Linked DNA regions of Kluyveromyces lactis. The protein of the gene in region 2 purifies or fractionates together with the protein of the main gene of each other region. This does not show direct contact. Links are inferred from orthologs where the notes say so. Each region holds a gene or a part of one and is shown on either strand. Other genes may lie near its edges.

Region 1 (2,772 bases), on a different chromosome or scaffold from region 2:
GAAGATTCCATCTGGTACGGAACTTCGTGAGGCTATCATCAAAGCGAAAGGTATCAATTCCATTGAAGACTTGATTGATAATGTTAATTGTCAACAAGTCAAGTTGGATAATATTTATGGTATCCAAGTTGAACCACCTGCTGATGCAAAGCCATTAGTTTTATCACCTGGAGGAAGACCGGACGGGAACGTGAGTCATGATGAGAGACACTCCGCGCAGGAAAATGGATTCCCATCTGAAAGTGAAGATAGTTATGTCGAAGATGAAACCACCACCGAACAACTCAACGTTGACGAGACATATGACAAGTTGTTGAACAATTTGAGTCGTGTTCGTTCTAACAGAGGATAAATAAATATTTTTGCATAAACAAAAGTACATATGGACGTGCCACACACACAATAAATAAAACTAGGTACAGGAAGACCAAAACAAGCGCCATGGTGAATAAAATTAACGATGAACGGTGTATCACTGGCAGGAAGTAAAGCATACATTTTCATGATAATGACAATGTTCTTAGGATTGGTCTATAATATTTGTCCATTCCGAATACGATCTCTGATCCCAATCTGCTTATTCCAATATATCCGGTACAAATAAGCAGCAATATGAAGTTCATTATTCTTTTACGAGTCTTTAGACTACGGACATGCATATATTGAACGGTTCCAGCGATAATATGATACGATCCTAAACCAATAAGAGCAACCAAGGGGCCATATCCGAGACCTATCCTCACCAAAGCACCTCTGTCTTTATCTAGTAGCCATTTGACAAAATCAAAGTCTATATCAACTTTCGCCGTATTTGGCAGCCATTTCATGAGGGCACCATGAAAGAATAATACTGGAGTTAACAACCATCCTGTAAGCTCTTGTGGATTATATTGAAGGTTTCTCTTGATCCCAATAAAGTACCCACTTAAACCACCTACAAGACCAATTCTAGATTGTGCAAGTGACTGAGTATCCAGCAAGGATTCGGCATTATGTGTTTTCGAAGAAGTAGGCAGCTTCCTCATTATTCTCAAGGCAAATCCGGATAATATATGTATTGATATCCCAGTCCAAATCAACTTAGATCCAAGTCCAGATGTGAGTTCTCTAACCATCATTAAAGCATCGTTTGGAAAAGAGGAGGGCTCAAGAGCAGGAATTATTAGGGCATTGATACCGTGTAACGGAAAGTACGTTACTAGAGGGAATAAAGACCATTTTTGCGTCCACCTTAGCCATTTCTTAATATTCAACACTAAATTGACGCTGGCATCCTCGGGGGTTTTTGCTAAATCGGGGTCGATGTGTTTGGTCGGAATGGGCTTCAACGGTGTCAATTTCGCAGCAGTCATGAAGTTTATCAATTATAAGTCAGCGAATCACGCACTTGTTCATATACTCAAAGGGCAAGTGATATTTCTGAGAATCTTGGTATATCTGTTTCTTAATTTGATGTTGGCTTATTCATTACATTCCATCTTTACACATTGCATCAGAAAAGGAATATTAAAATGTAAAAACCATTACACGAATCGATGAAGGTAAAATAAACAGAGAAATAACACAAATATGGCCTGTGAAGGGTACATGAATGGTTGCATTTGAATATTACAAAGAATATACTTCATTTTTTCTGCCTAGATATTTATCATCATAAGATAACTCCAGTATAGGATTGAATTTACAGTATTCACGATGTCATTACCTAGTTGGTGCCCCAGGTATGACAGCAGGAAACACGACCCAAAAACTGGGGAAGAAGTTTATTGTATATGTAAGAAACCAGACACTGGGGAGTTGATGGTAGGATGTGATGGATGTGATGATTGGTTTCATTTTTCCTGTTTAAAGATCCCCGAGAAATATAGAGATCTCGTTTTTTCATTCTACTGTTCGTATTGTAGTGCTGGAATTACAGGACCGGCATTGATAAATGGCGGCAAACTACCGAAAACTCTTTGGAAGAGGAAATGCAGGCTCCCTGAATGCTATACAGAGTGTGATGCCAATTCAAGAAGCAAATATTGTTCAAAGAAACATGCTGTTCAATACGTTCAAAGCATTGTTGATAAGTTAAATCTACCTGGCGTAGATAAGATTGCATTGTTGAGACAGCTTCTAAACGAGACAACATCATTGGAGGAATTTAAAACGCTAGGACGAGACAAGCTTCCAGAAGTCACGTCACCTTTATCCAAAGATCAATATTCCAAGTTGCTAGAAAATGATCAGCATTTAAACAAATTAATTAACGAACACGATGAGTTGGTTTCGGTCAAGCTTTCAAAACTAAATGAAGAAGATGCAGTAATAGAGAAATACGTCAACTGGATCGGTGAAGTTAACGAGAGATTATCCCCACATTTCAATCAGCCTACAGGTCGAAAGAAGTCGAAAAGTGCAAGTAAAGTTACAATATGCGGCTACCATAATGAGTTCACGATCCCTCGGTCAGTTGAGGAGTTTTTAGATAAGCTACTTCAGTTGAAAGAAGACGAAAACAGTAATATCACATCAGTTGACGGTGTTTGTGTAAAGACAAAATGTGCTAAGCATCAGGATTGGATTACATTGTCCCAAAACGATCTCTCGGAACAGAAGGACTCTCTAGAAAACGTCAAAAGAAGACTCGATTTACTAATTAGCGTCAGAACGAACCAATTGAGAATCTCATTCTTCGAACAAGAGATGTCCAATCGCGTCCTACCCGGTGTTAAGACCTAGCTCATATCTAATGTGTCACTTTTCTGTCATTACAATGAAGGCGAAACG
Region 2 (4,266 bases):
ATCCTTTCGATGTTTGCTTTGAAATATGATCCTCGAATCTTAACTCTGTTAATGAGAGATCGAAATCCATTTTAACAAAGCTCTTTAGAAGTCTTAGTGAGAGATGTTCACCAACAAGTTTTACAAGTTTAGAAGAATTCATGGTTGGACCTTCTAAACATTTCAAAAGGGAAATTTCGATCTTAGAAACATCCAAGGAAAGTTGAAAAGATGTTTGATCGAGCTCTGCTTTACTTAATGTTTCCATCATTCTCTTTGTCTGTTTCAAGACAAGGGTCTCCTTATGTTTCAATAGAGCTTCATCAGATCCACCAATATTGTCTAGAGGAATTAATTGAGAGTAGCTCTGGCTTCCGCTCGAGGTACTGGCTTCTTCCTGATCGTCTTCAACATATGGTACGCAGCTCTCAACCAATTGCATTATGATTTTATATTGAAAGTCGTTCAAAAAGATGTTAAGGCTTGGAAGTGTCACTGAGGCTGCGACTCTGGGCAAGTTTAACGCTTTTGGGAAGATCAAAATATCTAGAATAAAATCTAATTCCATCTTCTCCAAAATTGTGAAATTGTTGTCTCTTTGTTTGACATTGATGCTAGTGATCGATGATTTCATGTCAGGCCCGATTAGCAATTGGGTGTCTGTGAGTTTTATCTTAAATCTATCAAACATTAATCTTTTGAGTTCATCAGAATCAATCTTAGCATATTCATCCACACTTAGCTCCTTTATTTTCTTGATTTCTTGTTTTGGCACAAGATCACTAGACATCTTGATCGAACCAGCATCGATTATTGCGCATGGAGATTCCCAAGAATGCGCGTCTAATGGAATTATGATGGTCGGAGAAGCTGCATTAAGTTTTAGATCGATAGTTTTATGTTCATTGAGTAGTGCTTCTAATCCCATTCTGGTTTGACTTGTCCATCCTTCAACAGTTGCCTCTGCAGCATTCATTAAGGCAGATACTGTTTCCCAGTGTTTAGTTGGAGGGTTGAAGAATCTTATCAATTCATTGATAAAATGAATGTGATAATACACAAACACAGACCCAAACTTAATATCTAAAAATGTGTCAGCTGACTCATCCATTGGACAACTATCAAAATAAAGATGTAAAAGAGGGTCGCCACCTTTTTCATGTTTAGTCCTAGGGCTGACAATGTGACGATATAAGGTGTGAGGAGAACCATCCTCCACGAGGAAACTGGAAAGCTCAAATTTGAAAAGAAAAGAGTCTGGTCGGTTCAGAAATTCTGTTGCAGATTCCTCAAATATGAAGTCACACATGCGATGGCCTTTTGTTCTATCCATCACTGTTAAAGATCCTTTCTGTAATAGATTGGTTACTCTAAGAGTTGTACGATCTTTAGGTATGTCTACTGATTTCAAAGGATCATTCGAGTCATCGTATTCAATAGCATCGTAAAGCTCTTTGCGCTGTTCGTCAGTCATTGTCAAGCTGTCATCGCTTTTTGCGTTAGATGGAGCCCACCAGCTTGAAAACCAACCTTGTGGATTTGCGTTGGTGCTAATCGTCTCTGAAAGCTGAGTAAATTTAGACTCCTGACAAAACTCTCTTCTGGTAAAGGCTCTGAAAAACTTGATATCATCAAAGCTTAACTCTACATCAAGCGCATGAAGCCTTTTTTCCTCTTCAACATTAGGCAATGGATCGTTAATATCAGGTAGAGTTAGCTTTTTCTTGAAAAGAGATACGTACTCATCTCTCTTGTTCCTTCTTTCTTTAATATATTCCCAACTAGACTTGTAGTTTTTCTCGTGTATTTCAGATAGAACACAGTTTGCAGCGTACTTGAACCATAAAGCAGGATCAGCTGCAGGTTTAACAGTCGGTCTATGTTGTCTGTACTTCAAAGTTTTATGGAACCAGTGGTACTTCGACAGATTGTGAAGGACTTCCTTATACTGACAATCATCTAACACAAGAGCAAATTCATCAAACATTAATTGCACATCGATATGAGGAGCATCTTCAGTGGCACCAGCTTTATTCATTTTGAGTCTAGCCGATCCTCTGACCGGTTTCAAGAGGTATTGATATTCTGGAGCGCCTCGGTTATCGGCAATTGATTCGCGTAATCTAATCAAAAGTTCCTCAGAGTCGTCCGTTTCTATCGATTCTGTGCCTGTGTTACAGTATATACTAATAGAATCTAGGGTAGCCAATTTATGAGTAATTTGTTGTTTAATGGAGATGAAACTGGGATTCCAGGATTCATCAGTGGATACTGCAGAGAGCTCACTTAATGAAATACCAAATGCGCATGGTCCTTCACTGAACACTGAATTCATATCTTCATACCTCATATGAATATTCTTCACCGTTACCTGAAGGTTATCGACAATTTTGGTCAACAAGGATTGTGTAAAAGATTCATTGCGATTAGAATCTAAATTGATATCTGGTTTGGAACTGTTGGCGAGTTCAAAATCTGCCAGACGCTGAAGTTTTACTTTGAGCTCGCGCTCAATTTGTTCCTCCACATTATATGACTCCGGTGTCCGTGGAGCGCATAACATATACACATCTTCAATTATGATCTTCACTGGTTTATTTTTTAAACTGGACCATGGGATTAACAAAGTCAATTCTCCCAAATATCCAAACTTTACATCGATAGGTAGATCCAATGCATCTAATGAATCCTTTCTTAAACGCAAGTTGCGTAATTTAACATCCCCGTTCCATATGCCAACGTTAAGTTGGGTTGGATCGAAATTCTCGACATAGGCACCCAAAAATCGGTTTAAAAGAGCAGAGACAAGAGATTCTAACATTTATTAGGCTCTCTATCGTTGATTTATTACTGTTGTGAGCTATTTAGATTCTCTATTGGTGCTTTAGGGTGGACTGATGCAAAGTTGGTGTTTTATTTTTTCTGGTTTCAATTGCTATCAGCTCCCCTTTGAATTTATGTAAATACAAAAATAGACAAACTGTCAATTGAAAAAAAAGGTTTCATAGCATGGATATGTGCGGGTAATCAGGTATTTAAATCAGGCAAAAGGAATTCTACTGCACTTTAAAGGTTTGAAAGTTTAAAGATGTGAATCTTATTAGCAGAAGATTGGAAATAATTTGAACATATTTGCCACTGTACGAAGAAAGACATCATAAAACCGTGTGTTAATGTTGTCCAATGAGCAAGTTCCAGCAATTGAGTGAGGGCCAAGAGAGATCACTTGTTGAGAAGGTTGACCTCAGACTAGTATTGGCAAAAGATGATGCTAAATTCGAGCAGACTTTGAACACTTTTTTGCCGCCTTTATTATTAAAGCTAGCCTCACCTTATTCATCCGTTAGGGAATTGGTTTATGAGTCCATAAAACATATCACGTCGAGAGTCAATTCTCATTTTCGCTGTAAGCTTCCGGTGAGGCAGCTATTGCAACAAGTTAAAAAGCCAAATCTGAATGAAGGTCAGGACGCTACCAATGTTATTGTTTATTCGTCGTTTTTCCTTTCCAAAGGGGTAGAAAGAATAAGTAGACAGGAATCAAGAGAGCTTTTGCCTGATATAATAGAAGATATTTCCAACTTATCATCACCAGCACAAACAAGAATATTTCACATTCTGTGTAAAGTATTGTTGACATGGAAAGCTCCTTTGCAAGGTTCCTCAGAGGAAAGAGAAACGATAGACTTTTTAAACGTAAATGATTCTGATTTAAGATTTTTGGTTGAAAAATTCTTGAAGTTTTTTCTATTGGTTCCCAAGAGAACAGAAGGTAGCTCAGTTTCCTACTTTTGTCCGGGTCTCTCTAGCACTGATGTGTCATTTTTCATTTATAGCCCTGCCATATACTTCACCAAAGACTTGTTAAACCAATACAGAAGGGCAATTTTTGATTTTACTGTCTCAGGTTTGACTAGTAATGACCAGATTTTGATACCATTCTTATTGGTGGTATCAGCACAACCAATCGATATATCAGATTCAGCGTCCACGCTTTTGAAGAGAATTAAGATACCATATGATGATGAAACTTTTGTTAAATATCTCTCAGATTTGTTTTGCGGCAATATTGCTGAGCATCTACCACCTGTGAATCCTCAAATCCAGGAAAAAATACTGGGACTTCTAACGCGAAGTATTCTGATAACGAGGTTACCCAATTTGCCTCTGAGGATATCAATGGACGGCATTGCTAGTCGCAATCTGAGAGTCAAATTAGCTGCCCTGGTTTTCATTCGTCATGTTGCCAAAAACAATCACCTAGCGTTACGAGAAACAACCGGAAAT
Region 3 (4,141 bases), on a different chromosome or scaffold from region 2:
TGAATACTGAATGTTTTCTGGATTTATGATAAATTAATCCTTGGTGTATTATAGGACGCGACAAAGCATGAGCGCTGACGTTGTAAATATGATCGTTTGTTGTTGATAATTCTGTCATCCATTTCGGAACAAATGCAGATATGTGCTTTTCCTGAAGTTCAGTTATATTGAAGGTGTTGAGATTCTTTATTTTCAAATCCCAGAGAAGCTGTCGATCAGCAGCTAGTCTTCGCTTCCAGTAGAAGGCTATTTCACGTAGTCGTGATAACCACTCTTGACATGTCTCCGGATCAGGCGCCATGAGTAGTTTACTGACATTTTTACCAATTACTAACTCTATAATAGAAGACTTCGTTGCTTCAAGTGTTTGACTATTCTTCCATACCATATTATTTGCTTCATTCCATATTTTCATGGTCTTAATATTGAAGCCCGATGCATCTAAAAGCTTGATATCTGTACAACGAGTCAAGTCAATGCAATTATCCGCTTTGAGTATTAGTGATATTTTTCTCAGGAATGATCTACTAGCTCTTGCGTCGTGACTTTCAAATTCCGCAGTTGTTATATTCTCGTTTAACCAAGCGAAATGACCATTCTCATCTAATGGATATGGATTATCTTCGTACACTCTAGGCATGGTTTCAATTAAGTCATCTAGCCTGGCTTTATCTAATACTACTCCGAATGGATCGATTACGTCATCTTCCGGTAGTGGTGGTGTAGCCTTAACGGATCTAGTCCTAAAAAAGAGCCCGTTTGAAGTGAACCAGTAGGAAAGCTTAAAATAGGGATGTGAGAGTTTATATTCATTTTTATCGCTGAAAACAATATTGTTTTCAGATAAAAAACCCTCAATTGGCGAGGGCTCATTAATGACCTTAACGGTATCAGTGTGATTATCGATGGGTTTCTGTATGGATCTGGGGTAAGTTTTAAGCCTACGATATTCAAATATGTGAGATTTTCTCAAAACAAATGTTCCGTACAACAAATCAGTTTGATTGCCGTAAGACCATTCAATCCTATCGTAATGTTTCCAACATAGTCCCATTAGTATATTGGAAGCATCCCATTTTTTAACCTCATGTAAATATCCAAGTTGTATAAGCGTCTCACGTATAACTAGCTTCAAATATCTTAATATTGGAAGTTGTGCTACACGGTATCCATTTTCTAGTTGGAATATTTTCATCACTTCCTCCTCTTCTGCCGCCTTCTTTGCTAATTTCCTTCTTATTATTTCTGGGAGATCTACATTTAGTGATAAATTTACTATTGGAATATGGATGTCAATGTCACAAGGTTGTGCTGCAGGACCAATGCTGGATCTCAAAAATACCAACCACCTACTAGATGATAATAGATTATCACATCGGAATATGAAAATTTTCAAAGGGGAAAATTGTTTCTTCGATGTTGCTGTTTTCGTTTTTGCATTATCCGCAAACCTCATTTCTTGTGTTAATAGGTCATCTTGTTTGACAATGCAAATACTTTTGTCCAAAGAATTATAAAATTCAACAAGGCATTTCTTATCTAAATCAAACTGAATCTTGCAATGCCATGGTTTTCTATCCTTTGTTACTATTGGTTTAATTTTTCTTGAAGTGTAAAGTTGTAGCCTTACTGGAGCATCCGGGTTTCCCGTCCCTCTAGCTACAACGAAATACTCTTTCCATCGTTCATAAATTCTAGTATCTACTGGTTCATCTTCGGAGAAATGAGGGGGAATTACTCTGGCAGTTAAAGCTTGCTTAACCATAACAATCATCTTTTCCATCTTGATGATTTTCCCAATTTTAGTACTATCTAAAGTGATTCTATTATGTTCTGGGGAGGGTTTTTCCCAAAAACTCCCGAAATGAGCGTCTGGTACCACGGCACTAATCTTTTTGCCAATAGCTTTGAAAGGGGTATAATGTGCATGCGAATTATTGATTCTTGTCTGCTCCTCTCGAGTAATCGGTTGAGGAATCGGCTTTAGTATTTTAAGTGGATCTTTACTGTTGAGTGAACTTCTTCTCGACGTAAAAGATCGGAATGTCTGTCTCGTTGGATGTCTGAAAATAAGACGTTGGTTAGCATTTTCTTTGTTTAGTGTGTAGGTCCTTACATCTAAAGATCTTGTTTCATTGTCGTCTAGTACAGAAAAATCGGTAGGTGCTTCATTGTACTCGAGAGATTGTTCTTCAAGATCCGAATTTACTGTGCTTTCTCCATCATGGCCAATTAACGGATCCTCAAAATGCATTACATCAGCATCATTTCCACGATGCGCATCACTGGTTAGCCCTGATGGACTTTGCTGCACTACACTAGGTGAATTCAAGCTTCCATTCTGTAATGACGCTTCGCCGTCGTCTTCGTCATTATCATCATCATCATAAACAGTGACAAGTTTAGAGGGTTTAACGTTTTCATCGAAAGCTTTGTTCTTATCTGCGGAATGATACTGCCTCCAATGTATGAATCTTGTCTCCTTACCTCTACCTTTCTCGTAAACGTATTTTATTCTGTTTCGCAATCGTACATCAGTCAGCCTCTCAAAGATCGTGAAGATGTTATATGAATGCTGAAGATTCCATATTTGTGGAATTCCACCTATTAGGACGGATCGATGACTTTGTGAAATCTCCACAGCAGAGCAATAAGTTAGCTGGTGGGAGGTGAATGAGTGCTTGGGGATCTCGATCTTTTTCATCGCAGATTCCCCGAGACCTGCATTTTCCCTGATGTATTGTAAGAATCTATCATCATCCAATACAATATCTATTAGAACCTTAATTCTTTCGTCCATATGAATGTAAACCACTCTTCTCTAGTGATATTTCTCAAGATATTCAGTAATTCATGCCCTGCTCAATAGTAGTAACCATCAAGTATCGTAATGAAGAATTCTCTGTTTAAGTTTTTATAAGTTGTGTTTGTGTACCCTTGAAATGAAATTATTCCAAAGATTTAAGCAAAGGTTTTCTTGGGATTTATCTCTGTCAGATGAAAGCGACAAATACAACAACTATTTGAGATTTATCCACATAATCTTGGTTGCATGTCATAAAGAGTTGAATTTCATTATGTGTATTTACTAACAGTATGTAGGTGATGTGAAGTGGCACATATATGCCGCTTCAGGCAGACCAGAACTAATTTTAAAATATCAAGGTAAGAAACCATTTTGTCATCAGTTATAATGGCAAGATGTTTGGAGAGGGACCTAATGGGGTAATTGATAATGGGTTGATTTTAGTATGGGATCTAGTGTAATGCCATTTGATGTGGTTGAAATTGGTAGTTTCTTGGAAAGCTTCGTAGTTCCAATATAAGTTTCTGAGCCACAAATGGATGTAAGGGTACCCCGAGCGAATAGTGTTCAAATTGGTTTTGAAATGCTGAACGTATACAGGGTCAAATCTTACAATGGTAGGATATAATCTCAAGTCAGCCTCAGTTAATTGATCTCCTAATAGGTATAGTTTCTTTACAATTTCCTCCTCAGAAGAATGAGTAGATTTCAAAGTTTCGTACCTTTTCTTTAGTATGCCTTCCACCTTATCCAAATGTTTGAACACATTCAATACTTCCTTCTCGTAGATGTCCTGTTTCTCAGCAAACCCGGTCTTGTAAACACCATTATTGATGGAGTCGTAGACCCAGGAGTTGATCTCATCGATTTGAGATTCTAATTCTTTTGGAACCAAATCGATGTCTGGATGAGAATCTGCCACTTCATTGAAAACACCACTGTTGAAAATTCTAATAATCTCAGAACTTTCATTGTTAACTATGGTTTGGGTCTTCAAGTCCCATAGAACGGGCACAGTGAATCTGGCTGCATATTCCGGTTCACTCTTGAAGTACAATTCGCTAATTCTTTGGAAATGGTAATTGTGATCGATGGTACCGTCAATGCCGTATTTGATAGAGTGATTATCTACATCAGCGCTGACACAGAGATCCTTTTCACATTTGAGACCTGCGGATGGTTTGTACGATTCCTTTCCATCGGTTTTATTCGATTCATTATATGGTAAAAACCTCCATCCTTTCTCATCCATGTGCCAATGCACAACACTGATACCAATAACGGACGTTAATCCCTTCAAGACCCTGGTAATCAAGGTGCGGTGAGCCCAAGGAC

The links.
Region 1: the proteins of VPS13 (region 2) and MCP1 purify together in Saccharomyces cerevisiae (affinity purification with western blotting, with the first as the bait; 3 studies listed by BioGRID). This does not show direct contact. The link is inferred for Kluyveromyces lactis from reciprocal best matches to the Saccharomyces cerevisiae genes VPS13 and MCP1.
Region 3: the proteins of VPS13 (region 2) and SPO71 purify together in Saccharomyces cerevisiae (affinity purification with western blotting; 5 studies listed by BioGRID, with this or other methods). This does not show direct contact. The link is inferred for Kluyveromyces lactis from reciprocal best matches to the Saccharomyces cerevisiae genes VPS13 and SPO71.

What each region holds. Positions count from the first base shown.
Region 1 is NC_006040.1:617,935-620,706, forward strand, and holds MCP1 (Mcp1p), read right to left. Parts: upstream 1,353-2,772; coding exon 501-1,352; downstream 1-500. Other genes in the region: HER1 (Her1p), read left to right, coding at 1-352; SPP1 (Spp1p), read left to right, coding at 1,696-2,724. UniProt on the Saccharomyces cerevisiae protein: Recruits the lipid transfer protein Vps13 to mitochondria thereby promoting vacuole-mitochondria contacts. Involved in mitochondrial lipid homeostasis.
Region 2 is NC_006041.1:65,979-70,244, forward strand, and holds the start of VPS13 (membrane morphogenesis protein VPS13), read right to left. Parts: upstream 2,801-4,266; coding exon 1-2,800. Other genes in the region: ECM29 (Ecm29p), read left to right, coding at 3,163-4,266.
Region 3 is NC_006042.1:1,106,613-1,110,753, forward strand, and holds the start of SPO71 (Spo71p), read right to left. Parts: upstream 2,801-4,141; coding exon 1-2,800. Other genes in the region: ECM4 (S-glutathionyl-(chloro)hydroquinone reductase), read right to left, coding at 3,189-4,141. UniProt on the Saccharomyces cerevisiae protein: Recruits the lipid transfer protein VPS13 to the prospore membrane during sporulation, thereby aiding prospore membrane formation.